Linked DNA regions of Macaca fascicularis. The protein of the gene in region 1 interacts with the protein of each later gene in a pairwise test. Links are inferred from orthologs where the notes say so. Each region holds a gene or a part of one and is shown in the gene's direction. Other genes may lie near its edges.

Region 1 (12,441 bases):
GTGCCACCTTTACTCAGTCACCAATACATCTCTAATGTATTTTAAAGATGGAGTTACTAATTGTGGTTGTGATCCTCAAGAATGGTCATTTCTAAGGTCTAGAACAAGATCTCTTTTCTTCAGTGTAAGGGGACTGAATGGCATAATCTTATTAATAAGATGTTTTGTTTCTCGTTTAGCATTTGAATGTTTAGATTCATATACCAAAAATGCATGATTCTGGCACTAAATCAGAATATTTGCATATCTTACCATTTACAGTGGGTGTTTAAATTTGTTTTTCTGTCATATCACTAATTTGTAGCAAGTAGATTTTCTGGTGGTGTAACTGTTGCTAATGATAGTAAATGTTTCATAGACTAGCTGAAACACAGAATAGCTTTTTCACCCTGAATGTTGAAGTATGAAATATTATTTGGAGTTTTAATTATAGTTTAAGTAGCAGTTATTATTTTCCAAACAAATGTATTTCATAAATATGCCAAACTTAAATTATTCTTGAACTTTTTCAGAAATACTAACGTTAAAGGAAGTATTTCAGATTGCAAGTAACGGTAAGCCCTATAATTTGCATACTTATTTCTTGCAGTGATGTATTTGTTTATCAGTGCATATCTGTGGCTAGATTCTTTGTAATAATTGAAAAAAAAAAGAACCCAATTAAAAATAAGTGAACATTACTTAAATCAGTATTGCTTCTTAAATTACACTGGTTATACAGTGTAATTTAAATCTTAAGGAAATTAAGTCTTATAGGTTACTATCTTCATAATGCTTAAAGAGATGTTATAGTATTTTACCTTTCTTGTTCTTTTATATATCCCAATTTTTCATTGAGTGTTAGAGATATATATATGTATATATGTGTGTGTGTGTGTGTGTGTGTATATATATGTGTGTATATATTTTAAGATATGGGGTCTTGCTGTGTTGCCCAGGTTGGAGTGCAGTGGCTATTGAAGCCACAATCATAGCATACTGTAGTGATCCTGCTGCCCCATCCTCCTGATTAGCTGGGACTATTGGCATGTGCCACTGTGTCTAAGCTGCGTTTGCTATTTTTGTACTACAAAATACTTTAAAAAGCTTTACTGCATTAGTTTCCTGGAATTAATTTTTTAAAAACCAGTTTGAGAAGTAGACACATAATTTAGGGGAAATTTGGCTGTGGGGAAAATTTGAGTTCAGTGATCATGTGGTAGGAAATTCTTGCTTTAGTACGTTTGTGGAAAGATGCACATGTGAAGACCATTGAAAGCATTTGTAAGTTTTGAAAAGTACTGTTGTATTGTTAACACTCGTTTCTTTTTTCCAGATCATGATGCTGCAATTAACAGATATAGCCGATTATCCAAAAAAAGAGAAAATGACAAGGTGTGATACACATTTATTCCTTCAGTGTCATGATTAACAACTATTCATTAGGTGGTCTAGTTTTTCCTCTATCAAAATAGAGCCAGCAGTTACTTTGTATGTTTTGTTATATTACCCTTAGTTTTTTCTTTCCTTCTAGCTGTTCGAAACCTTTCTGATAATCATTGATCTCTTTAAACAAAATATTTTCTTCGGCCAAAATTTGATTTTATAAGTAAACATAACTATTCTGGAAATGTAACTAATACCCAGTATATAACATTGCCTCTTGTTGCTTTGTATTTCGATGACATGGCATTGGTTCTGTTTGAATATATATGTGTGTTCAAAAATGTCTTCTGAGATAGAGTGGTCAAGAAGTAGAATTGTCACACACATAATGAAATTCTGTTATGAGGCCCTCCTTATTTACAGAAATATATATCTTTTGATATTTGTTCAAGGAGTGAAATACAGAAATATTACACTGTATTTGAGGAGAAATGCATTCAAGTAAAGATCAGAGAACAGAGTATTAACAAGTTCTTCTGGGCGTGCCTTAAGATCATGTCTTTCTCCAGCACCTAGTCCAAAGCTTGATGTGTAGGTCTTTCTAGATGCTTGTGACTGAGGTGATCTCTGTGCCTGGGTGTTGGTGTCTGTAGCCTTGGCTGCAGCTGCTGTTGGAAACACAGTGACTGCTTGTGGGAATCCATAGTTGGGTACAATTTACTGTGCAACAGCTACTGTGACAAAGGAAATGTTTCTCACACAAAGTTTAGTATGAAGATTGATTTCCTTTTCGTTTTCTAATTTTCGCTGCAGACTACTACTTAATGGTGTATTGATAAAATGTATACATTTTAAGATCTCTAATAGTCACTTGGCCTTAGAGAAGTAGTCAAAGGCTCTAGGTATAAAATTTGATATATTTTACATTACTTCTGGCTGTTCAAAGTATTTTAAAAAACACTTTTTCACCAACTTCATTTTATTTAAAAATTCATTGAGTACCTAATATATGTCAAACAGTCTGTTGGGTACCTTGGGGGAACAATGGGAATAGGCTTCACTCCTGCCCTCAAAGACTGGATACTCCACATTTATTGAAGGCTACCTGTGTGAAGGCATGCAAGTCGACTAGGAACCAGAGTACAAGGATGACAAGAAGGCATGGATTAACTCTGTTATTAGTTAAATACAATAATAGGGGTTTTAATAAAATGCGGAGAGAGCACAGAGAGGGGAGCAGTTAGCTTTGATTGGTGAATTGGGAAAGGTTACACTTTTTTTTTTGAGACAGGGCCTCATTCTGACTCCCAGGCAGGAGTGCAGTGGTGCTGTCTCGGCTCACTGCAACCTCCACCTCCTGGGTTCAGGTGATTCTCCTGCCTCAGCCTCCCCAGTAACTGGGATTATAGGTGTGAGCCACCATGCTCAGCTAATTTTTGTATTTTTAGTAGAGGTGGGTGTTCACCGTGTTGGCCAGGCTGGTCTCAAACTCCTGACCTCAGGTGATCCGCCCGCCTCAGCCTCCCAAAGTGCTGGGATTACAGGTGTGAGCCACTGTACCCGGCCAGCAAAGGTTACACTTTTAAAAGGTGACATTTACATTGAAGATAAGTGGATAACACTAGTTTGGAATTGGAGATTGCTTTCCTGAAAGAAAAACAGCCTTTCAGAGGCACATGGTGGAGTTGGGAGAGTGTAAAGGTTAGGAGTACTCTGTGACAGTAAAGGAAATGTTTGGAGATATGGCAGAAAGAGTAAGAAGTATATTGGTACCAGATTACTATATTAATGACCTTGAAATTTGTGTTAGAGGGAGTGGACAACCGCCAAAGGATTCTAAGTAGGTGAATAACATCATGCAGTTGTGTTATAGAACAAACATACTAATGAAAATGTGAAGAGGACAAGAGTAGAGGGAATCCAATGAAAGGAATTGGAATAGTTTGCAAAGATATAATGAAGGCCTCAGCTAAGGTTGTTACTGAAAGTGGAGAGGAAGGAGTACTTTTGAGAGATATTTCTTTTTTTTTTTTTTTTTTTTTGAGACGGAGTCTCGCTCTGTTGCCCAGGCTGGAGTGCAGTGGCCGGATCTCAGCTCACTGCAAGCTCCGCCTCCCGGGTTTACACCATTCTCCTGCCTCAGCCTCCCGAGTAGCTGGGACTACAGGCGCCCGCCACCTCGCCCGGCTAGTTTTTTTTGTATTTTTTAGTAGAGACGAGGTTTCACTGTGTTAGCCAGGATGGTCTCGATCTCCTGACCTCGTGATCCACCCGTCTCGGCCTCCCAAAGTGCTGGGATTACAGGCTTGAGCCACCGCGCCCGGCCGAGAGATATTTCTTAAGTATGAGTTGACAAGTCTTGTGGTAATAGGAGGAATAAAAAATGAGTCCTAGATTTCTTGGATGTCTGGATGGATCCTGTAGTAATTAAGAGAGCTAAGAAACAAAGTAGAAGAACAGGTTTTGTGTACAAAACTATTTTCAGTTTTGTACATTTGTAGCACATAAACACACATAAAGAACCCAGCTGGAGATGCGTTTCCTCTGTCACTTGGGAGAGTGAGAGGGAAGAGATAAAATTTGTGAGTCATTGATATATTGGAATATTAGAATATTCTTGGTACTTGAGGATTCTAAGGAAAGGAGGAAGACAGAAGAACATAATGCCTATTACATAATAGGTATTCAATAAATATATGTTGTCTGAATAAAAGAACTCTAGGGAGCACACATATTTCAAGTATGGGTGAGGGAAGACAAGCAAGTACAAGAGAGGAAGACTGATAGGGAGAGAACCAGGAGGGGAGACTGGTATGCTGTGAACTGATCAAAGTCAAAGACTAATGGCTAACCTAATAACAAACAATTGTCTGCCCTTCCTCCATGTGGTAAGCTTTCTCTGCCATGCTTAGTTTAGTTACTGTACCATTCTTAGTTATGTACAGAATTCTGTTTTCAATATGCCTTTTTTTTTTTTTTTTTTTTTGAGACAGTCTCTGTCGCCCAGGTTGGAGTACAGTTGTGTGATCTTGGCTCACTGCAACCTCCACCTCCCAGGGTGAAGCTATTCTCATGCCTCAGCCTCCCTAGTAGCTGGAATTACAGGCATGTACCACCGCACCCAGCTAATTTTTTTCCATTTTTAGTAGAGACAGGGTTTTACCATGTTGACCAGGCTGCTCTTAAACTCCTGGCCTCAAGTGATCTTCCTGCCTCGGCCTCCCAAAGTGCTGGGATTACAGGCATGAGCCACCACGCCTGGCCTCAATGTGCATTTTGTAAATTATGTGGTTGGAAGGAAGTTAAACAGGAAAATTCGCTTAACCAGTATGTTGAAGGATTTCTAAAAGATCAGAAACAGGAACATCAATGCTCAATTGCTTGTGATACACCTTTTCCTCGGTGGGCTCTTCTCCACAGCTCCTACTGAAGATAATACAAAATTAAGTAAATAATAGTAGATTATTTACTTAATTATTTAAATCTTTTCATTCAAAGGTGAAGTATGAAGTAACAGAAGATGTGTACACGTCCAGAAAGAAACAACACCAGACCATGATGCATTATTTTTGTGCATTAAATACTCTTCAGTACAAGAAGAAAATAGCATTGTTAGAACCTCTACTTGGGTACATGCAAGCTCAGGTAAATACTGTACTGTATTTTGGATTATAACTGTCCTAAAAGCTTTATATTAAGCTTGATATTTACATTAAGTATAAAGATTTATAAACTATTTTCAACATCCTTGTTCATGTCTGTGGAAGTAATTTTAAAAAATGTCATCAGACTGTTATTTTAAGGAAGTTAGGAAGAATGGTTTTCCTTGCAAATGAAGATTTCAAATATTTTAGGGTAAATGAAACCACTTGTTCACCGTAGCTGGGGACTGAGAACAGAAAGCTAAATGAATTTCAGAGTTACACCTATTGCTGGAGCTTCAACTAAACACTTGCTTCATAATAGATCTGAAAGAGAATGAACAGGTTTGAGTTTATCCCATATTCCTTGCATACTTCCTGAGTTAAAAATAATAGATGAACTCCAGCGTGCCCCAAGGTACATCAGGAAGGGGGCTAGAAATTTGTTTTGGGTAGTATAAGACAAAGTGTCAGTCTCCTAAAAATTAAGAGTTTAAAGAAAATTGAGGCCAGGTGCGGTGCCTCATGCCTATAATCAAGCACTTTGGTAGGGCCGAGGTAGGAGAATCACTTGAGTCCAGGAGTTTAAGACTAGCCTTAGCAATGTAGGGAGACCCCATCTCTACAAAAATTGAAAAAATTAGTTGGGCTTGGTAGCATGCCTCCATGGTCCCAGCAACTTGGGAGGCTGAGATGGAAGGATCCCTCGAGCCTAGGAGGCTGAGGCTGCAATGAGGTGTTACTGTGCAGTCTGGATGACAAAGCGAGACCCTGTCTCAAAAAAAAACAAAAAATTGAATCTATTTAAGTAAAAGAGTACTTTACTGATTATTCCTCAGATAGAAAACTTATCTTTGTAGTAAACATGAAATACTTTATATAATTTGTTGGAAATACTTTAAAATTTATTTTCCAATTTTAAAAGATTGTTAACCATACATATGTATTACTTGTTCCAATTCAAAAAATATAAAAGGATATGTAGTGGAATTTAAGTCTAACTTCCTTAATGGCTCCATGTGCAGTAGAAATCACAAACTACAATGTATTTTTACACAAATGGGAATATTCCTTTGTTTTTTACCTAACCATGTATCTTAGAGATTGTTTATATGATTTACTTTAAGTATTGCTTAATGTATTTTTGTATTGTTCAATTCCCCCGACTCCCTGCTCTCCAGATAAGTTTCTTTAAGATGGGTTCTGAAAATCTTAATGAACAACTGGAAGAATTTTTAGCTAATATTGGAACAAGCGTTCAGAAGTAAGTATTTTTTTCCTTAAAATTGAAAATGAAATGATGTGAATGATAGCTTAACAGCTCAGTGATATAATGTAAAGATATTTATCATTTAATTTCCTGAGTGAATATTTTCCCTGCCATGAGAGTTTCTTATATGGTTCATGGTTACTTCTTGTTTTTTTTTTTTTTTTACCTCTTTTTTCCATAGATTGTGAACTTCGAATTTCTTAATGGTGATAATTTGATTCTAAACTCAGTTTTATGTCTGAATAAAACAGACACATAATAGTAATTCCCCATAAGTGAAATTATCTTTAAACTTGAAATTGTGGGAGTTTAATGGGAGATTACTAAATATTGTTTCCACGCCATGAAAGCTTAAAGACAGAGAGAAAGCAGTTCTCATCAGGTTCAAAATGCTGAGCAATATATGTGGTCTGTCCACGGTATGGAGAGAGATGAAAGTGATTGTTGTTTTAAAGGCACAGGACCTCTGTTTTAAAGGCGCAGTTTGAAAATTATGCCAAAATCAGGGATTCAGTGGGGCTTCATTCATTTTTTGAATTTAGTATTGTTTCCAAAATATCTAAGTTTCAAATAAACTGTAAACCTGTTTTAAAATGTATTTGTGTTGTTTTAACCACGCATGCCACATTTCCTCTCTTTAAGAAAACATATCCAAAACAAATATGCAGGTAAACATGATTAGTAAGGAGTTCTACATTGATTGTGATTTATAGTAAATAATCTGTTCTGTATCAGTGTTCGCAGGGAAATGGACAGTGATATAGAGACCATGCAACAGACAATAGAGGATTTGGAAGTAGCCAGTGATCCCTTATATGTGCCTGACCCAGACCCCACCAAATTTCCTGTTAATCGAAATTTAACCCGAAAGGCTGGATACCTTAATGCTAGGAAGTAAGAAAACTATTGTTATTTTTGTATATTGTATATCATGTAAGACAATACCAAATGAATATAATAAATAATTGATGTCTGTCATATTGTTTTGATTTTTATTAAAGGTTGAAACTTTTTAGAGGTGTTAGTATTATGTGAACTTTTTGACAGATGAGGTACGTAAATACTTTTCAGAAGTAAAATCCTACCTAGCTATTTATTGAATAATGTAGAATGATAAAAGAAGTGAAACCAAGGCTGGGCGTGGTGGCTCACACCTGTGATCCCAGCACTTTGGGGGAGACCAAGGCAGGTGGATCACCTGAGGTCAGGAGTTCGAGACCAGCCTGGCCAACATGGTGGAGCCCCACCTCTACTAAAAATACAAAAATTAGCCGAGCATGGTGGCTTATGCCTGTAATCCCAGCTACTCAGGAGGCTGAGGCACAAGAATCACTTGAACCTGGGAGGCAAAGGTTGCGGTGACCTGAGATCGCGCCACTGCACTCTAGCCTAGGGGACAGAGTGAGACTCTTGTCTCAAAAAAAAAAATGAACTGAAACTAATTTGAGTTTAAGTAAATATTCACATATGGTATCATCACATGAGAATGCTGCGAAATATCATTTATCATACTTTAATATATTTGTAATTATAGCACCAAGTCAAATGTTAGTTTTCACCTGATGATAGGATGAAGCAGGTTAACCCTAGAAATAAAATAAATTCTATTGTTTTGAATTTACTCCCTTGGAAGTTGAACTATAACCTGTATTTTATGGATCGTTATTATAACAGCCACAGTTTGATAATTTCCAGCCTTGTTTTGGAAACTGTATATACATTCACAAAAGTGAGTCAATATACATGAATTTATTTTAGAGACTGAAAGCATATTTATATTTATTTTCTTGGCATCTTGGTGCCTTTTCGGAAGCCAGTTCTTTGTAACATGCTTTATCTTGTGTCTAGCTGATGATGAGATTCAGGTATGTTGTTATTAAAGAGTGAATGTGCTTTCTTCATTTAGTAAAACAGGCTTGGTGTCATCTACCTGGGACAGACAGTTTTACTTCACGCAGGGTGGAAATTTAATGAGTCAGGCCCGTGGGGATGTAGCAGGAGGCCTGGCCATGGACATAGACAACTGTTCAGTGATGGCTGTGGACTGTGAAGACAGACGATATTGTTTTCAGATCACCTCTTTCGATGGAAAAAAGTTAGTATTTTTTCCTACTACTAATTATCTATAATATTTTAAACTTCTGAAATGTGGGATAATTCCTTTTTGTTTAGAAATTTTATGGACATTTTAGGTTCATATGTATTAAGATAAATTGCTTTTTAATCTTGTAGAAATATATTGAATTTTTGTTTCTGACTTGGTTAAATGGTTTGTTGATATTTTGAGGTTGTCAAAGAAATGTCATATAGTAAAGACCTGTGATTTCATGTTAGGGAACTGGAACTGAAAATCCTGTGTAGCATCGGGGAATACAGAACAAGTTCATGGAAAGAGTCCTAAACCTGGAGTCAGAAAGTTCAAATTCTGGATCCATTACTTACTCTGTGGTCTCAGACAGCAGAGTAATGTCTGTAACCCCTCTCAGCTCCATTTTTGTTCATGTAAAATGTGAGTGGGGGGGGTTGTAATCCCTACTTCGTAAATTGTTGTGAGGAACAGAAATTCTAACATATGTAATATGACTGACATACAGTAGGTGCTAACAACAGTGTTATTTTAAAATGTTAATCAAATATTTCTGATCAGATTATTTTTCCATTAATGTTTATAATACCATTTAAAAAAATTTCTATTACCTTTTTTTGAGGTGGGGTCTTACTATGTCTCCCTGGCTGGAATGCAGTGGTGTGAACATGGCTCACTGTAGCCCCAACCTCCTGGGCTCAAGGGATCCTCCCACCTCAGGATCCCAAGTTGCTAGGATCACAGGTGCATGCCACCATGTCTGGCAATTAAAAAAAATTTTTTTTGTAGAGATGTCTCATCATGTTGCCCAGGCTGGTCTCCAACTCCTGGACCTAAGTGGTCTTCCTGCGCTAGCCTCCCAAAGTGCTAGGATTATAGGCCTGGGCCACCACGCCCAAGCTTCTATTACTTTTGCATTAAATGAGAATCTTTAAAGTAGCATTTAAAAGAAATTTTCAAAAAGCATGGAAAGTTTAAAAAGGAGTATGAAAAAATTCTACTGTCTTATTAATCGAAAGCAACAATTAACTTTTTTGTCCATTGCCTTCCAATTTTTAACCTAAGTACATTTTTAAAATAGTTGAAGAAATACTGTAATTTGGATTTGCAGCCACCTATTAAAAACATGTTATAATGGCTATTCTATAATCTATTTAAGGACATACATTATAATTTAAACATTTTCCTAATGATAAATGTTTAGACTATCTGCCATTTTTCCCCCACTCAATTAAAATACTGCTTTTAACCTTTGAACTTTCTTAATTTAATAATCAGGAGCAGCCTCTGGGTTCCCTGAAAGTCATTTTTTTCCCCTGTATTTATGCACATTAAGATATTATACAAATAAATAAATTTGACCTTTACCCCTGAAAAAAAGATGCTATAGGCCAGGCTTGGTGGCTCACGCCTGTAATCCCAGCTCTTTGGGAGGCCAAGGTGGGTGGATCACCTGAGATCAGGAGTTTGAGACCAGCCTGGCCAACATGGTGAAACCCAGTCTCTACTAAAAATACAAAAATTAGCTGGGCATTGTGGCAGGTGCCTGTAATCCTATCTACTTGGGAGGCTGACGCAGGGGGAATTGCTTGAACCCAGGAGGCAGAGGTTGCAGTGAGCCGAGATCGCGCCACTGCCTTCCAACCTGGGCAACAGAGTGAGACTTTGTCTCAAAAAAAAAAAAAAAAAAAATATTATAGCTCACTATCCTTTATCAAAATGGTTGTTTAATTTCACATTCCTTCTACAAACATACAATGAATGCCAATATTGTGTGGATTTATCCCACTAGATATTGGGAATCACTGTATTCATTTATCAAAATTACCCACTTGTTAACATGTTACTTACTATAAGTACTTACTTTTTGTTTAATGCTTACCTGATTTCCCATTTCATATTCCTGGTGTGATGCAAAATTAGTAAAAATTATTATTTTCTCTAACTCTAATATTATATCTATAGAAAAGTGAATTAATGATATGTTAATGATTAACATTGAAATATTTGATTTAATATTAAAGGAGAAATAATGAAGTAAAGTTTTTGCTATTAGGATCATTGATGCATATTTGAAATATATATGATAAGTTCATAATATATAGGAAATATATATGATAAGTTGAAATGTATTGCCTTCACTGAAATGTAACTTTGTCATGGTCTGTCTTCTAAGGATCAGCACCTGTTTCCTTTTTGGTACATCTTGGGATAGGTAGCCAAAGTCAGAGTTGTTAAAGTCTGCATCCTGATACCTCTGGTGGTCTCCTTTTCCTAAGATACTGTTGGTTGTGTTTTGTTTTTGTTCTTTTAATACCGATTGGTTTTTATACATGCCTTTACCTTTAAAGATTAAAAAGTTCTCTCAGATTATGTTGAAAATACTTTTTTAAACAGTTGAGGCTCAAATGTCTCTTCTCTTCCAGATCTTCAATTTTGCAAGCAGAGAGTAAAAAAGATCATGAAGAGGTAAGATTTTACTTAGTTCATTTCTTCATTGACATTTAAAAATATTTCTCTGATGACAAAACATATATTAATATGTTTATTGTAGAAATTTTGGAAAATCCTAGTTAATTAAAAATCTTTCTTTTTCTTTTTTTGGTAAAGGTCTATTGTCCTTGAGCAATATTCTTGTTTCTCACAGAATTTTGTAGAGGGAGGGACCTTAGAGATCATCTCTGCTGTTTTAAAGACTCAGATTGAGAAATGACCTTGTGACTGTTGCTGTCTGGCAGGCTGTTAGTATCATGAGGTGACAGTTTAATTTACTGTCTTCTCTCACCAATCCTTTGAGACACTATTTGCTGCACTAAGAACATAGTGGCAGCAGATGTGACATGGCAAGGAAACAACTAAAGCTGAAAATCTTGGAGAAATGAAAGATAGAAAAACAAAAATTTGGGAGTCTCTGTTCTTCCTCATGAGCCTTTTCTTTTTGACTCCATTTTTACTCCTACTATATCAGATATGGAAGGTAAGGTATTAGCAATAATTGATGCTTCAAACCTTTATCTTGAGAAACATTCTTCCATGAAAATATATCTTAGCTTGATTTTTCGCCTTTTAATTTGGCATTATAATTGTGTTGGTAAAAGATAAAAGTTGGAAATGCTATAGAGATCTACCTTTATTTACTTCTTATGGAAAAGAGTAATATTAAAACTTGCTTTCGGTCTCTGAGGAACACACACAAATGTCTCTGTTCTCTGCATAATTTACCAAATAAAATATTTGTTTAGATTAGTGAGGCTCATCAGGCACTTCAATCCTCGAGAGTGAAGCAGAAGATGTAGAGTGGAGATTGTTTTCTATGCTAATTATTTATAAACTTGACAGAAGGGAGGCATGTAAAATATATTCGCCAAGAATATATTTGTCTTTTAAGTTTTTTTTGCATTTGTGTTTATGATACCTGAGTTCACACCGTCTTGTTTGGTGGGGATTAGGAGGGGAAGTGATATAAAAAGATAAATATAGATTATTAAGCATAATTTAACATGATTGCTGTATTTTTTATTTTCTTATGTGAATTAAACTTGAGATTCTTATATAAATCTACTGAATGTTTTCATATATTTAAATAATGAAAATGTTGAATGTTCTTTTATATATATTTATACGCACCCTCTTTATGAAATGTTTTCTTATAAGGAAGATAAATGGATTACTTCTAATGAAACATCTGTTGCAGTTGAGTATTGAACATTTGCCTTTACAAGAGAAGCTTTGTAGAAAAAAATTATTAATTATATTTTTCTATTTTTTTCTCTTGCAGTGGATCTGTACAATAAACAACATATCTAAACAAATATACTTAAGTGAAAATCCAGAGGTAATATTTTTATTTTATGTTACCCAGATCTAACAAAATTGAGTAATTTTGTGGCTTACATGTTTTTATTAATTCATAATTTTTCAAGTTCTGTAATTTTTAAATTTGGCCTTGAATGGGTAGATTTTTTTTTTTTTTTTTTGGAGACAGTCTCGCCCTGTTGCCCAGACTGGAGTGCAGTGGCCTTATCTTTGTTCACTGCAGTCTCCACCTCCCAGGTTCAAATGATTCTCCTGCCTCAGCC
Region 2 (12,441 bases), on another chromosome or scaffold:
AAGTTGACACTTAAAATTAATTATCATGGTCACAATAATGTACTCCCATGAAGATGTGAATAACTGAGGTCTTTTTTTGTTACTCCCCCCAACACCCATGTATATTTGCATCATAAAAATGGAGAGTGTTTTCATAAAGGAATTAAAATCAAACATCAGATTTTTAGGCCATGTGGAAGAACTGTAGCCAGCAAATAGACCTGTGTGTGTATGATAGAGTGTGCATGTTTTAAGAGAAGAGAGCAAAAAAGGGAATATACTGTAGGTAAGTCTCCAGCCAAGATCTGAACAAGATCTACTTACCCCATCTTTGTCCCTGGTAATATAAATTTCTATGGAATTTTCTAAATCCATGGAGATACTAGAGATATGTTGTATTTTCTGTCATTTCAAAATTTGGAAGTCTTGACAGGTTCCATGTTTGATCCCTTCAGACAGTAAGCTTTAAGTAAACACCTCCACAAAGACTTTTATTTCCCTGTCATCCAGGAACCACTTTTGCTTAAAAATTTGCTTTATTGAACTTTAAGTGACTTTGCCTCTTTCCTAACAAGAGCTCCCTCATCAGCATCCACCAATGAAAGATCTCAATCCCAGGACACTGACAAGATGCATTCGTCTCACAGCAGCAAAGTCATCATGTGCAAATGACAGCAGCACATATGTCTTCTAGCTGTGGTAAGAAGGAATTGAAAATAACAAGCTAGCTCCAGAACACCAAGCAATGGAAAGGCAATGAAGTTTACCAAGGAGGCTTCCCAATCTAACACCTAAACACTGGATTGCATTCAAATCAATCCATCCAGTGTATCATTCTGCTTACTCCCCAAGGCATGTCTGCCTCCTTGTTGACACTGCACAAGGTTGCTCCCTTTCTTGGTAACTTTGATATTCTCAGCCACACATACTTACCTGCTGCAGAGGCACCATTTTCCTGAGCTCACTTTAAGTCTAGATTTCTGGATTTCTCGGTCTGCCTTTCATTCATCTCCCCTTAGAATTAGCTCTTTTGTAAAATTTTTTCCAGCCTCTCATTTTTAGTACAATGGTGAGTCATGTCTGCTTTTGAGACAACTACTTACTGAATAGATTTCGTGAGCCCAAATCCATGCCAGAAATGATACAGAAGACAAAAGTCCCTTAATAATATCTGCTCTCAGGGCACTTGAAATCTGGCTGAGGAGACAAGCAAATATAAATGAAAAGACAATCATAGGAAACAATAGAAGACAAAACACAAGGTGCAAGATTCTGCAATTTGTGGAAGTCAGAGAATATCACAGTTGGCTGGGGTGATCTATTTCCTTTCCTAATCCTTCTCCAGTGTCACTCCCCAGTACATCTTCAAACAAAGCAATAAGTTTCTGGGTACTTACTACATGAAAGGCACTGCTGAGAATGCTACAGACTTCTACCTTCAAGGAGAGATAAAATACAAATAGTGCATAAAGCAAAAGATAGTCAGTGGTAAGAGAGGCAAAAAGTATACAGACTATATCCTATTGCACTCTTACTGGTTTTCAAGGAAAAATTATCTCTTCAACTGTTAAACATTATGGAGACCTCAATGGGGTTTGTTTTGGTTCTCTATTGCCTCATTAAAATTTAATGGCTTAAAACAACCATTCCATTTTGATCACAATTTTGTGTGTCAGACATTTGGATGGCGGGCCCTGATCCATGCAATGTCAGCTCGGGTGGCTGACTGGGGCCAGGGTGGGGGCCGGGAGGGGGGTCCACTTCCAAGTTGTCCCCATCACTTATGTGCCTCACACATCTGTGTTTATTGGGTGTGTTTGTGTGTGTGTGTGTCTGTGTTGTGTCTTCTCTAACTCTGTCCATACGGTTTCTCATTCTCCAGGACCTCTCTGCATGGTTTAGGCTTTTACCAATATGGCAGCCTTAGGGTATTCAGAGATTTTTCATGGCAGCTGAAGACTCTGTAAGACCAAGGAGAAGATGTCAGTGCTCTTAAAGACTAGATCTATAATGAATAGCAACATTTCTATCATATTCTTTTATCCAAAGACATCACAGTTCTGCCCAGATTCAAGGGGAGAACAAACAGACCCTCGATGGAAAAGTGTCAAAGAATTTGCAGTCATCTTTAATCCACCACAGAGTACATGAGATAACAGAATGATATTCTATGGAGTATAAAAATTTGTTTCTCTTTACAATCTTCAATTAATCCAATTTTTATGCTGTAAACCTAAGAGGGAGGCATAATTAAGAAAAATAATCTGCTTTGTATTGCTTATTTTGAAAAATGTGAAAAATGTTCAGGAGAGGCAATGATGGCCTTGGTCTAAATTGTTCCTAAAGGACTTCTAAAATGTTTTTTTCATCATGTTTCTTGGAGTGAGTCCTGCCTGAATTGTTATAGACAAAACAGGGAGTTGAGTCTCAGCCTTTGTTCTTTCCACATTTGAGAAAAAAAGAGGAACCCAAATGCCAGATAAGAACTTGGTCACAGAAAACAGGGCAAGTGTCATTAACAGAACTGGCTAGAAGAGGGGTTGCCAAAAGAGAGGAACAAGATCTCCTGCAGCCAATAAAAAAGTTGGAAATCTCTAAAACAATAGGAAGTATAAATGGAGAGAAGGCAGAGACAGCAGCAGACAGCAAAGATTCATCACAGACACAAGGGTTCATGGACCAGACTCTGATCTCCAGGGACCCCAAATCTGAAGAATCATAATAGGGAGGGAGCTAGACAAGATGCCCTGGACCACCAGAATGTTTACCTTGTGGTGATAGCAATGAGTGTTGTGAGAAGTAATTAGATTCCAGATGTATGTGGTATATAAAGTCAAGAAGTGTTTCTGAGAATTTTGATGTAGGGTATGAGAGAAAGAAAGGAGTCAAGGTAGGCATCAAAGTTTTTGCATGAACAACTGGAAAGGTGGAACAGATTTTCAGAAAAGATCAGGAAGGCCATTTTTATTATCCAAAGTCTGACCTGCCTATTAGACAACTAAGTGAAGATAAGGAGGCAAGTAAATATGAGTCTGGATTTCAAGAAAAAGAAGCAACCTAGAAATACAAATTTTAGAGCCATCAGCATATAAGTTGTATTTATGTCATAAGACTGGATGAGCTCACCTGCAGAATAAGTGAAGATGGAGAAAAGAAGTCTGGGCACTGAGTTCATGGGCACTCCTCAAGTTGGAGGTCACGGAGGAACCAGCAAATAAGAAGAAACTTCCAAGGAGTTAGGAGACAAGTATTACTAGATATACAGAAAATTGCCAGGAAGGTATAAAATTTCTAGATTTGTATGAGCCTTAAGAAGTCATCAAACATACATAGAGCAAAAATTGACAAAACTAGAAGTATAGGAATCCAAAATCATAGTTGGAGATTTTAATATAATTTTCTCAGTAGTGACAGAACAAAGCAAAAAAATCATTAAGTATATAGGAGATTTGATCTAATTAACAGCTAACAAAGAGGGGACTATGTGTAAAATACACACACATACAAATACACACACACGTAACATAAAGGTAATTGTTCTGAAAATGTAAATCTTCCTGAATATCAAACAGGGGATCAGCAGTCCAGAGACTGGCAATAGTAACCACTACTAACTCTAGGACTTGAGGAACAAATGAGGAAGTCATCTTACTGATGTCCAGAAACTGGGGCAACTAGTAGAAGCTGGATCCTCCAAGGATCTGTTCAACGAGAGGTGGAGTCACGGAGAAGACTCCGTTGCTGCCTGAGACAGAGGAGGGATGAGATATGCTCTTTTACCTACCCTCCAATCTCCTGCTAGTGCCATTTGCTAAACCCAATTGAAAGCTGATTGGTAAGGTGGTACCTGGGAAATGGAACTGCAGGGATCATCCCTCCTAAGAAGAGCATAGAGAAGGGCATGACATGGATGTGAGAGACAACAGGCAAATGATCAACACACTGTATACAATGTCTTGTTCTTCATCCTAAGAGCAATGGGGAATCATTAAAGGGTAATCTCATAGGCATTTTTTACATCTGCAGTACTAAGATTGCAATAGATGTTCATAAGGACAGTTATGAGACCAATGCATTTGTCTAGGCAGAGATTGTGGTGACTTAGACCAAAAGTAACAGAAGAAGAGGGAAGTAGGCTGATTTGAAACACGTTTAAAAGTTAGGCTTGAAAGAACAAGACACCGATGTCGATGAGAGAGTCAAGGATGGCACCCAGGTTTCCATTATGAAAAACAGGGGAAATTGGAAGGGTCATTTGCTGAGATGGAGAAAACAAGGAAGAACATATTTACAAGAAAGATGGTAAGTTCAGTTTTGATGCAAGTCATCAAAATGGTGGAGTTCAAAAAACAACTGATTATCTGGACCTGGAGTTCAGGAGTAGGATCTGAATAGGGATACACATTTTGGAAGCCATCAGCACATGCCTGGTATGTGAAACTAAGGGAATGAAAGAGATCACCTGAAAAGATTGGGTATAGTCAGAAGGGGTCTAGGTATAGAGAAATGCCAAAATTTAAACAACAGATAAAAGAGAAGTAAAACAAAACAAAAAAAAAATCAGAAAGAAGTCAACGGAGATGTCAGAGGAAAATATGTTGAGTAGAATATAATGCCAAGAAAGAGAGTATCTCAGAAAGAAGGAGCATTCTACCTGTGAAATGTAACTACAAAATAAAGGAGATCAGAACTAAGACATGGCCTTAGTGAATATTATTTCCCCAGAGGCTAAAGAGAAACTCAATTGAATTGTGAGATGAGGAAATAGTGACATCAAGTATAAACAACTAGTATAAATGTGCTTGGGAAATGGAAGTGACAAATAAGGCAGTAGTTAGGGATGGGTTTCACTGGACAATAGGAAGGCATTATAAATTTTTGAGCAAGATAATTATACAATGAAAACAAGACTTTGAAAATGTAATTTTCACCAGATTGTGAGAGCATATGGGGTAGCAAATATATATTCACACCCCCAAGTTTCATTACTCTGAGTGTCTACTGCTTTGATTTACAGGGAATGCCAACATTAAAGATTCTTCTTCCTCAAGTATATACAAGGGTCCCCAAGGGTGCTGAAATGAACTCATCCTGGTCATCACTTGCTACCACCCCCATCAGAAGCACCCACTCATGGCCAAGCTGTTGGCCCCAACAGGTCCAAGCTGGTGCCATTTAAATCTCCTTGTTCTCACCAGCCAGTCTTGGTTTTGAAGTTTGCAACTACCAGTGGTGCTGCCAGAAAAGCACCCACATCACTGGTGCTGCTGCCAGGAAGGATGGAACTTGCAGCCCATCAGGGGCAGAGACCTGGTTAAACTGGTCATTTGTGCTGAGGTCTACTGGACAGAGACTTTCCTACCAAACAAGAATAACTGTCTCTCTCTCTCTTTCTGTCTGTGTTATATTTATGAAGAATAGTTGCCAGCCATTAAGTGTTTCTGTTGGTCAGGACATTCTTTATGTACTTTAACTCATCTAATTTTCACAACAACCCTCTGAAGTAGATAGGATTTTTGTCTTCCCATTTTACAGCTGAGGAAACTGAAACATGGAGAAGTGACATACTTGACCAAGGTCATAAATCTAACAGGCAGAGGGGCAAGGTAGATGTGCAGGCAGGTCTGCTGTAGATGCCAAGTTCGTAACCACCACTCTGCACTGCCACTTGGACTTTGTGCCAACACTGCCCCTACTGCCTGCCAGACTCTTCTTCCTCTTGTAGTATACTTCCTTCTTGTCCTTTTTCCTGAAATTTGGCCACAGATTCTACTCTAGCTCATCAGAAATATTTTTATAGCTAGTTTTATGGTACAGACAAATGGTCTCAATCCCTTAGTCCCATGCAAATTAGCAGGTACAAATAGACTGTAGAAGGGAAGGTGGCTAATTCTACTCACCAGCAACACTTACATCCCAAATTAGCCAGGATGTAAGTATATCCAGGAATCAGAATGGCCTATTATCTAACTCCTCCTACCAGGAACAGAAGGACCAGGACTCCTACAGAACCAAATGTCCCATTAGCCAAGTATTGATCTGGCCAAGGTGTGTTGGAAGAACTGGAGTCTCTCTCCTCATCCACGTAAGAATATCACTAGAGTGTCTGCTATTTTGCCTGCTAACCAAGAGCAAAAAATTTCAGGTCCATAGTAATCCTATTATATTTACCTTTTCTCTTTATAGAGATATTTCAAGAACAAGGATCCACTCCCTGCCTAGCTATGGCTTAGAAAATCTTAAGAAGCTGAGGGCCAGGTCGACTTACAACTTAAAAAAGCTTCCTAGTCTGGAAAAGCTTGTTGCCCTCATGGAAGCCAGCCTCACCTATCCCAGCCATTGCTGTGCCTTTGCAAACTGGAGACGGCAAATGTGAGTCTATCCTTTGAGCCCTGCTCAGGGATTTCCCCAATGTTGAACTTAGTCCATAATTTCTACATATCTGCGACATGAAGAGAATCTACTTGCAGAGAGTTCCCTGTCTCAAGCCCTTTGGCACATTTTGGGTCAAAAATTCAGTTTTGTGGAGAGTGAGGAATGGTTGCACTCTTTCATTTCTTTGAAAATGGGCTCACAGGACAGGGCTACCCATGGGGCAGAACATATACCAAGTACTAAATGAGAAAACATGAAAAATACTAAGCATAGTGCCTGACTCAGAGTTGGTGCATAATATCTGTTCCCTCTTACCCTTGTACCTTTATAGATTTAATGTTTCAAGTCCCAAACTCTGCACTTCATAAATGCCCCATCCATGTCATGTTTGGCAGGGAGATGCATAAATGCCATGCCAGAGACTGATGTACACATCTGCAGCACATCCCAATCACTCTAAGCCTCTCTAATCCACCTTGGAATCTTACTACCTCACAGGGAGGAGAAAGATTAAGACATCTCATTACTTTGGCTTTCAAAGAAAGCCAGGTTCAAGGAAGCCCAGACTTAAAGAGGATGATCTAAACAGAGACAAGTCCTAGTACCTAACTGGTTAAAAAACTGAGGTAATCATAGAAAGGATCTGGAGAGAGTAAACAGAAAGTCGCCTTGGAGATTGTATGCACGCCCCAGACATTTAAACGATGCATTGGAGGTAAGAATTTACTTAGTATGAAAGTTCTAAAAGCTCTCACTCTCCTCTGAGCTCACCTACATAAGCCACACCATGTAGTTGCACTCAAAATGTTTTCCAAGTAGCTGGGAGTCTCTCCTCAGACCCTTCTGAAGGATTTGTAGAAAAATAGCTGTTTTTCAGAATCTGCATGCATCACTGGGATATTATCCAGAATGGGCACACTTCATAGATGAGCTCAAGAGCCAGGAAATTTCTCCCTGACACCCAGAATTCTTAAGGTCCTGGGCTGAAGCAGTGGCTTGCCTCTTTTATATTCCACGTAAGAATTATTCTATCCAGAGTGAGAAAGATACCAATTTTGCACCAAGTCCCTGGAACTGAATACCCCGAAGGAGAAATAAAGAACATTAAGATTGGCCAGGCGAGGTGGCTCACACCCGTAATCCCAGCACTTTGGGAGGCCAAGGCGGAACAACTCCTTGAGCCCAGGAGTTTGAGACCAACCTGGGTAATGTGGTGGGACCTCGTCTCTACAAAAAAATGAAGAAAATTAGCCATGTGTGGTGGCACATGCCTGTAGGCTTAGCTACTCGGGAGGCTGAAGTGGGAGGATTGCTTGAGCCCAGGTGGTTGAGGCTGCAGTGAGCCATCATCGTGCTACTGTACTCCAGCCTGGGCAGCAGAGTGAGACCCTGTCTTTAAAAAAAAGAAGAAAATGTTAAGATCACTGTGAGAGCAGCTTGCAGTGTGCTATTTGGCCCAGTTCCAACACACCCCAATAATTTGTTATCTCATCGTATTACTCAGACTCCTCTAGACATAGCCTCAAGGCTCTCCCAATTGGCATCTCCACATCTGCCTTATATTGTCCCAGGACATGAGGTCTTCTCTGATCCCTCCAGACCACTCTGCTCTCATCCCTCTAGGTTGCTGCTGTAACTCACCATCCAGGCCTGTTGGGGTACAGCAAGGAGGGGAATGTGGTTCTTCCACAACGTGCCAAAATGGAGTAACAAAAATTGTGATAGATGGTTTTCGTTTTTTATTTTTAGCAATGGGTATTTGATTTTTGTATTCATCAAATTCACACACACAAACACCACAAAATAATTATGTTATTCAGAAGATATTTTCAGATTTATTCCTTTGATAGTATCATTTCATTGTATATCACAGTAGGTGTGGTTTAGTAGTGGGATTCAAGTTTTAACTTGTATGATGAAATTATTCTGATCCTCATTTGGAAATAATGCCCAGAGTATAAACATGAGGCCCCTGTGACTAAAACTTTGGCCAGTGGTCCTCCTGGACTCTTTCTGGGCTCTTCCCAAAAGTTCCTATCAACTACACTCTTCATTTGTCATTGAACCAGATATTTCCTTGTCATAATTCTGTATTCAGTTTGCATTACTTTACTCTCATTTTATTCTTCAATTTTTATTGTATTTAACAATACAAGTTGTTTCTTCACAACACAATGCTGTGAAGGCCATTTCTTCACGATTCAATATTAAATTGACATGCTGTGGCATATGCTTCTAAGTACCCACACAGGGCCTATACCTCCACAAGAATTCCATAAATAACCACCATTTGTCTTCGTACTGCTGACATTTGCCGAGTATTCACTGCCAAGCACTGTAATACTTTGTATCTTTATCTCATTTAATTTCCACAAAGGTAACATGATTATTATTCGTTTCTCACAGAGACAGAAACTGAGGCTCAGAGATACTAAATAACCTGACCTACACTGACCAAACAAATCCAGATCTGCTCTGCCTGCCTCCAAAGCTCAGGCTCTGGGACACTGCTACACCACCCGCAAGCATCTGTTCACTGACTGATCAGAGTCCAAGAGTGCCACTTTTTAAACTGGCCCTAAACTGAATTTCCAAATCCTTATGATAGTTAGGATTTTCCAAAGTACTGTGGAGGCAAGGTTTGATGTCCCTCGGTTTCCACTTTTGTTTCTGTTCTTATCTCAGAGACATAAGTTATTTACTTTTCTCCTTACTTCATGTCAGTGGGTCACTTCTGTTTCAGAAAAGGGAAGCACAATATTTAAAATATGTGGACAGCAGCAACAACAATAAGAATCTTCACAGACGCCAACCATAAGTCCCAGGAAGTGAAGCCTGTTTCTAGAGAGTTAAGTAAGATCTCAATCCAATGAACCACACTGCAGTCAGCAAGTACCAGGTTACTTACTTTCTCTTCCTGGAATCAGGCTGCAGCTAGTTCATAACAGGGTTTAAGAGTTGGGAATTAGACTAAGGACCACAAGATAACCCTCTTATGCCCTCTACGCCCATTATGGAGCTTGCCTCACCTTCCTTGGAAGACCACTGACTAAATCAAAACATTTTCTGGGCTCTGTTTCCATTGACTTTCAATTCTGTATATGTTCATCATTGAGCCTTAAACAAACAAAAAGAATCCCTTAGGCCAAGGGAAAATGACTTCCTGGCAATTCAATTCACTTCCCAGGGGTGAGAGAAGAGAGGATGGGGAGAGATGGGGAAAAGTTCAGTCCATGTATAATAGGTTGGAACACCTGGTGAGACTCATCCTTTAGCATCAAATGGAGTCTTTACCTCCTCCACTCCCCTAGCCACTTCTTTCCTCCTTATGAGGGTTTTAATATTCACTTCCCCGCTTATATCTGAGGTGATGTCAAGGTTTAATAAAAATACAGTCAACTTAATATAGATGTGAACTTGCCCCTTGGGGAAGGAGGGAAAGGTATGCCTGTGTATGTGTGATTTTTTTTTTCATCCAAAAATGTCCCAATGTAAGGGTTATTCCCATTCCATAAGCCTTTACTTCCAAACTGAAATATTACCTTCCATGTCTCTACATCCAGAGTATTGATAGACTACTCTGGGGTAGAATATTTATAGGTATACTCATGGATTGAATATTTATCACCTGGATTTCATTCAAATCCCTCTGTAAGTACCTCTATGCTGTTCACAAGGCCCCTTGTACATTTGTGTTTAAAGGGAAAACCAAGACAGCAAAGTGAGCCCAAGGAGACCTAGGCTGCCCCGAGGATGAGTTACATTCTTAGAATAAATTAGGTCCTTTTGCAACTTGCACTTGCTCTTTGGGGCACTCACTAGGAAACTAATATGAGACAGCCAGGCTTACCTTGCAGACAAACACATGTCTGAGGCCTATTGTGGCCCCCAGAAAGTGAGATAATAAAGAACAGGAAAGACCCTGGTAGCATTGCAGGCAAATTAGCTGGCCTCCTAATAGCCTGAGAACCAAAGAGCCAGGGAACAGGGGCTGGCTGGGAACTAACTAGATTTTGATCCCCTAATTTATGTAGATAAGAGAAGCAAATAAGTTCTCATTTGAGTGAGAGAACAGTCTGGATCTTCCAGTGATTTGAGTGTAGAAGAATAGGAATATCTCCTACTCAGGCATATTAAGAGATAGCTGGATCAAGATGAGAGAAGGAAAAGGGTAGAGTTGATACCAGGTCTGTAAATTATTTTCACTTAACAGCAAGGCTTAGTCTCAGGCGCCTTCCTCCCCACATTCAGGTTGTGGCAAGATGGTTTCCCCAGTGGGCCATCCAACTCTAGTAATATATATACAAGTTGTTATATTCATTTACAGTAAGCAGCATTAACCCTTGAGCTTAGCCTCAAGGGCAGATACGATGTGAGAAGAAACAAAAAATCTCGGGAGGAAACCCATCATTTCTACCCTGCACAAAGACAGTGATGTATTTGCTATTCTGGATCTGAGATGTTGATTCTATTTCTTTTTGTATTTTTCTAGTTCTGAGCTTCATCCAATTTGCAACAAATCTATTTTAAGGCAAGAAGTTGATTATACGACTCAGGCTAGGGGTCGGAGAGCCTCTCTGGCAGAAGACAATGAGCCCGGTTACAGCAGAGGATTTGACATGATGTACAGTGAGTTTGACTATGACTTATGCAATGAAGTGGCTGACGTGACCTGTTCCCCTAAGCCAGATGCATTCAACCCATGTGAAGATATCATGGGGTACAACATCCTCAGAGTCCTGATATGGTTTATCAGCATCCTGGCCATCACTGGGAACATCATAGTGCTGGTGATCCTAACTACCAGCCAATATAAACTCACGGTCCCCAGGTTCCTTATGTGCAACCTGGCCTTTGCTGATCTCTGCATTGGAATCTACCTGCTGCTTATTGCATCAGTTGATATCCACACCAAAAGCCAGTATCACAACTATGCCATTGACTGGCAAACTGGGGCAGGCTGTGATGCTGCTGGCTTTTTCACTGTGTTTGCCAGTGAGCTGTCAGTCTACACTCTGACAGCTATCACCTTGGAAAGATGGCATACCATCACCCATGCCATGCAGCTGGACTGCAAGGTGCAGCTCCGCCATGCTGCCAGTGTCATGGTGATGGGCTGGATTTTTGCTTTTGCAGCTGCCCTCTTTCCCATCTTTGGCATCAGCAGCTACATGAAGGTGAGCATCTGCCTGCCCATGGATATTGACAGCCCTTTGTCACAGTTGTATGTCATGTCCCTCCTTGTGCTCAATGTCCTGGCTTTTGTGGTCATCTGTGGCTGCTATACCCACATCTACCTCACAGTGCGGAACCCCAACATCGTGTCCTCCTCTAGTGACACCAGGATCGCCAAGCGCATGGCCATGCTCATCTTCACTGACTTCCTCTGCATGGCACCCATTTCTTTCTTTGCCATTTCTGCCTCCCTCAAGGTGCCCCTCATCACTGTGTCCAAAGCGAAGATCCTGCTGGTCCTCTTTTACCCCATCAACTCCTGTGCCAACCCCTTCCTCTATGCCATCTTTACCAAAAACTTTCGCAGAGATTTCTTCATTCTGCTGAGCAAGTTTGGCTGCTATGAAATGCAAGCCCAAATTTATAGGACAGAAACCTCATCCACTGCCCACAACTCCCATCCAAGGAATGGCCACTGCTCTTCAGCTCACAGAGTCACCAATGGTTCCAGTTACATACTTGTCCCTCTAAGTCATTTAGCCCAAAAGTAAAACACAATGTGAAAATGTATCTGAGTGTTGAATGATAATTCAGCCTTGCCTTTGAAGGGTATGCCACAGATAGCTGACAGTGGTTCTACATATCTCATCTAATTTAAGCTTCCTGGCATACCTTTAAGGTAAATTGGTCAGGAACTATTAATTCCATGTGATACATTGGGAAGCTGAATTATTAGTAACAACAATAATTAAAGAATACAATACTATATTACATGTTTTATCCTTATATATGTTGTTTTTGAACATTATGTACAAAGTGCTTTTGTTCAGATTATCTCAACTGATCCCTGTTAAATAAGCAGGACAGGGATTATTCTTGGAGTTTTACAAATGAGGAAACTAAGACTCAGAG

What was found.
Region 2: the proteins of APPL1 (region 1) and FSHR interact in a two-hybrid assay, tested with the Homo sapiens proteins (2 studies listed by BioGRID). The link is inferred for Macaca fascicularis from reciprocal best matches to the Homo sapiens genes APPL1 and FSHR.

What each region holds. Positions count from the first base shown.
Region 1 is NC_088376.1:120,330,173-120,342,613, forward strand, and holds part of APPL1 (DCC-interacting protein 13-alpha), read left to right. Parts: intron 1-512; coding exon 513-554; intron 555-1,315; coding exon 1,316-1,374; intron 1,375-4,863; coding exon 4,864-5,010; intron 5,011-6,187; coding exon 6,188-6,270; intron 6,271-7,011; coding exon 7,012-7,170; intron 7,171-8,182; coding exon 8,183-8,371; intron 8,372-10,788; coding exon 10,789-10,831; intron 10,832-12,140; coding exon 12,141-12,197; intron 12,198-12,441. UniProt on the Homo sapiens protein: Multifunctional adapter protein that binds to various membrane receptors, nuclear factors and signaling proteins to regulate many processes, such as cell proliferation, immune response, endosomal trafficking and cell metabolism.
Region 2 is NC_088387.1:73,033,529-73,045,969, forward strand, and holds the end of FSHR (follicle-stimulating hormone receptor), read left to right. Parts: intron 1-6,165; coding exon 6,166-6,351; intron 6,352-10,846; coding exon 10,847-12,080; 3' UTR 12,081-12,299; downstream 12,300-12,441. UniProt on the Homo sapiens protein: G protein-coupled receptor for follitropin, the follicle-stimulating hormone. Through cAMP production activates the downstream PI3K-AKT and ERK1/ERK2 signaling pathways.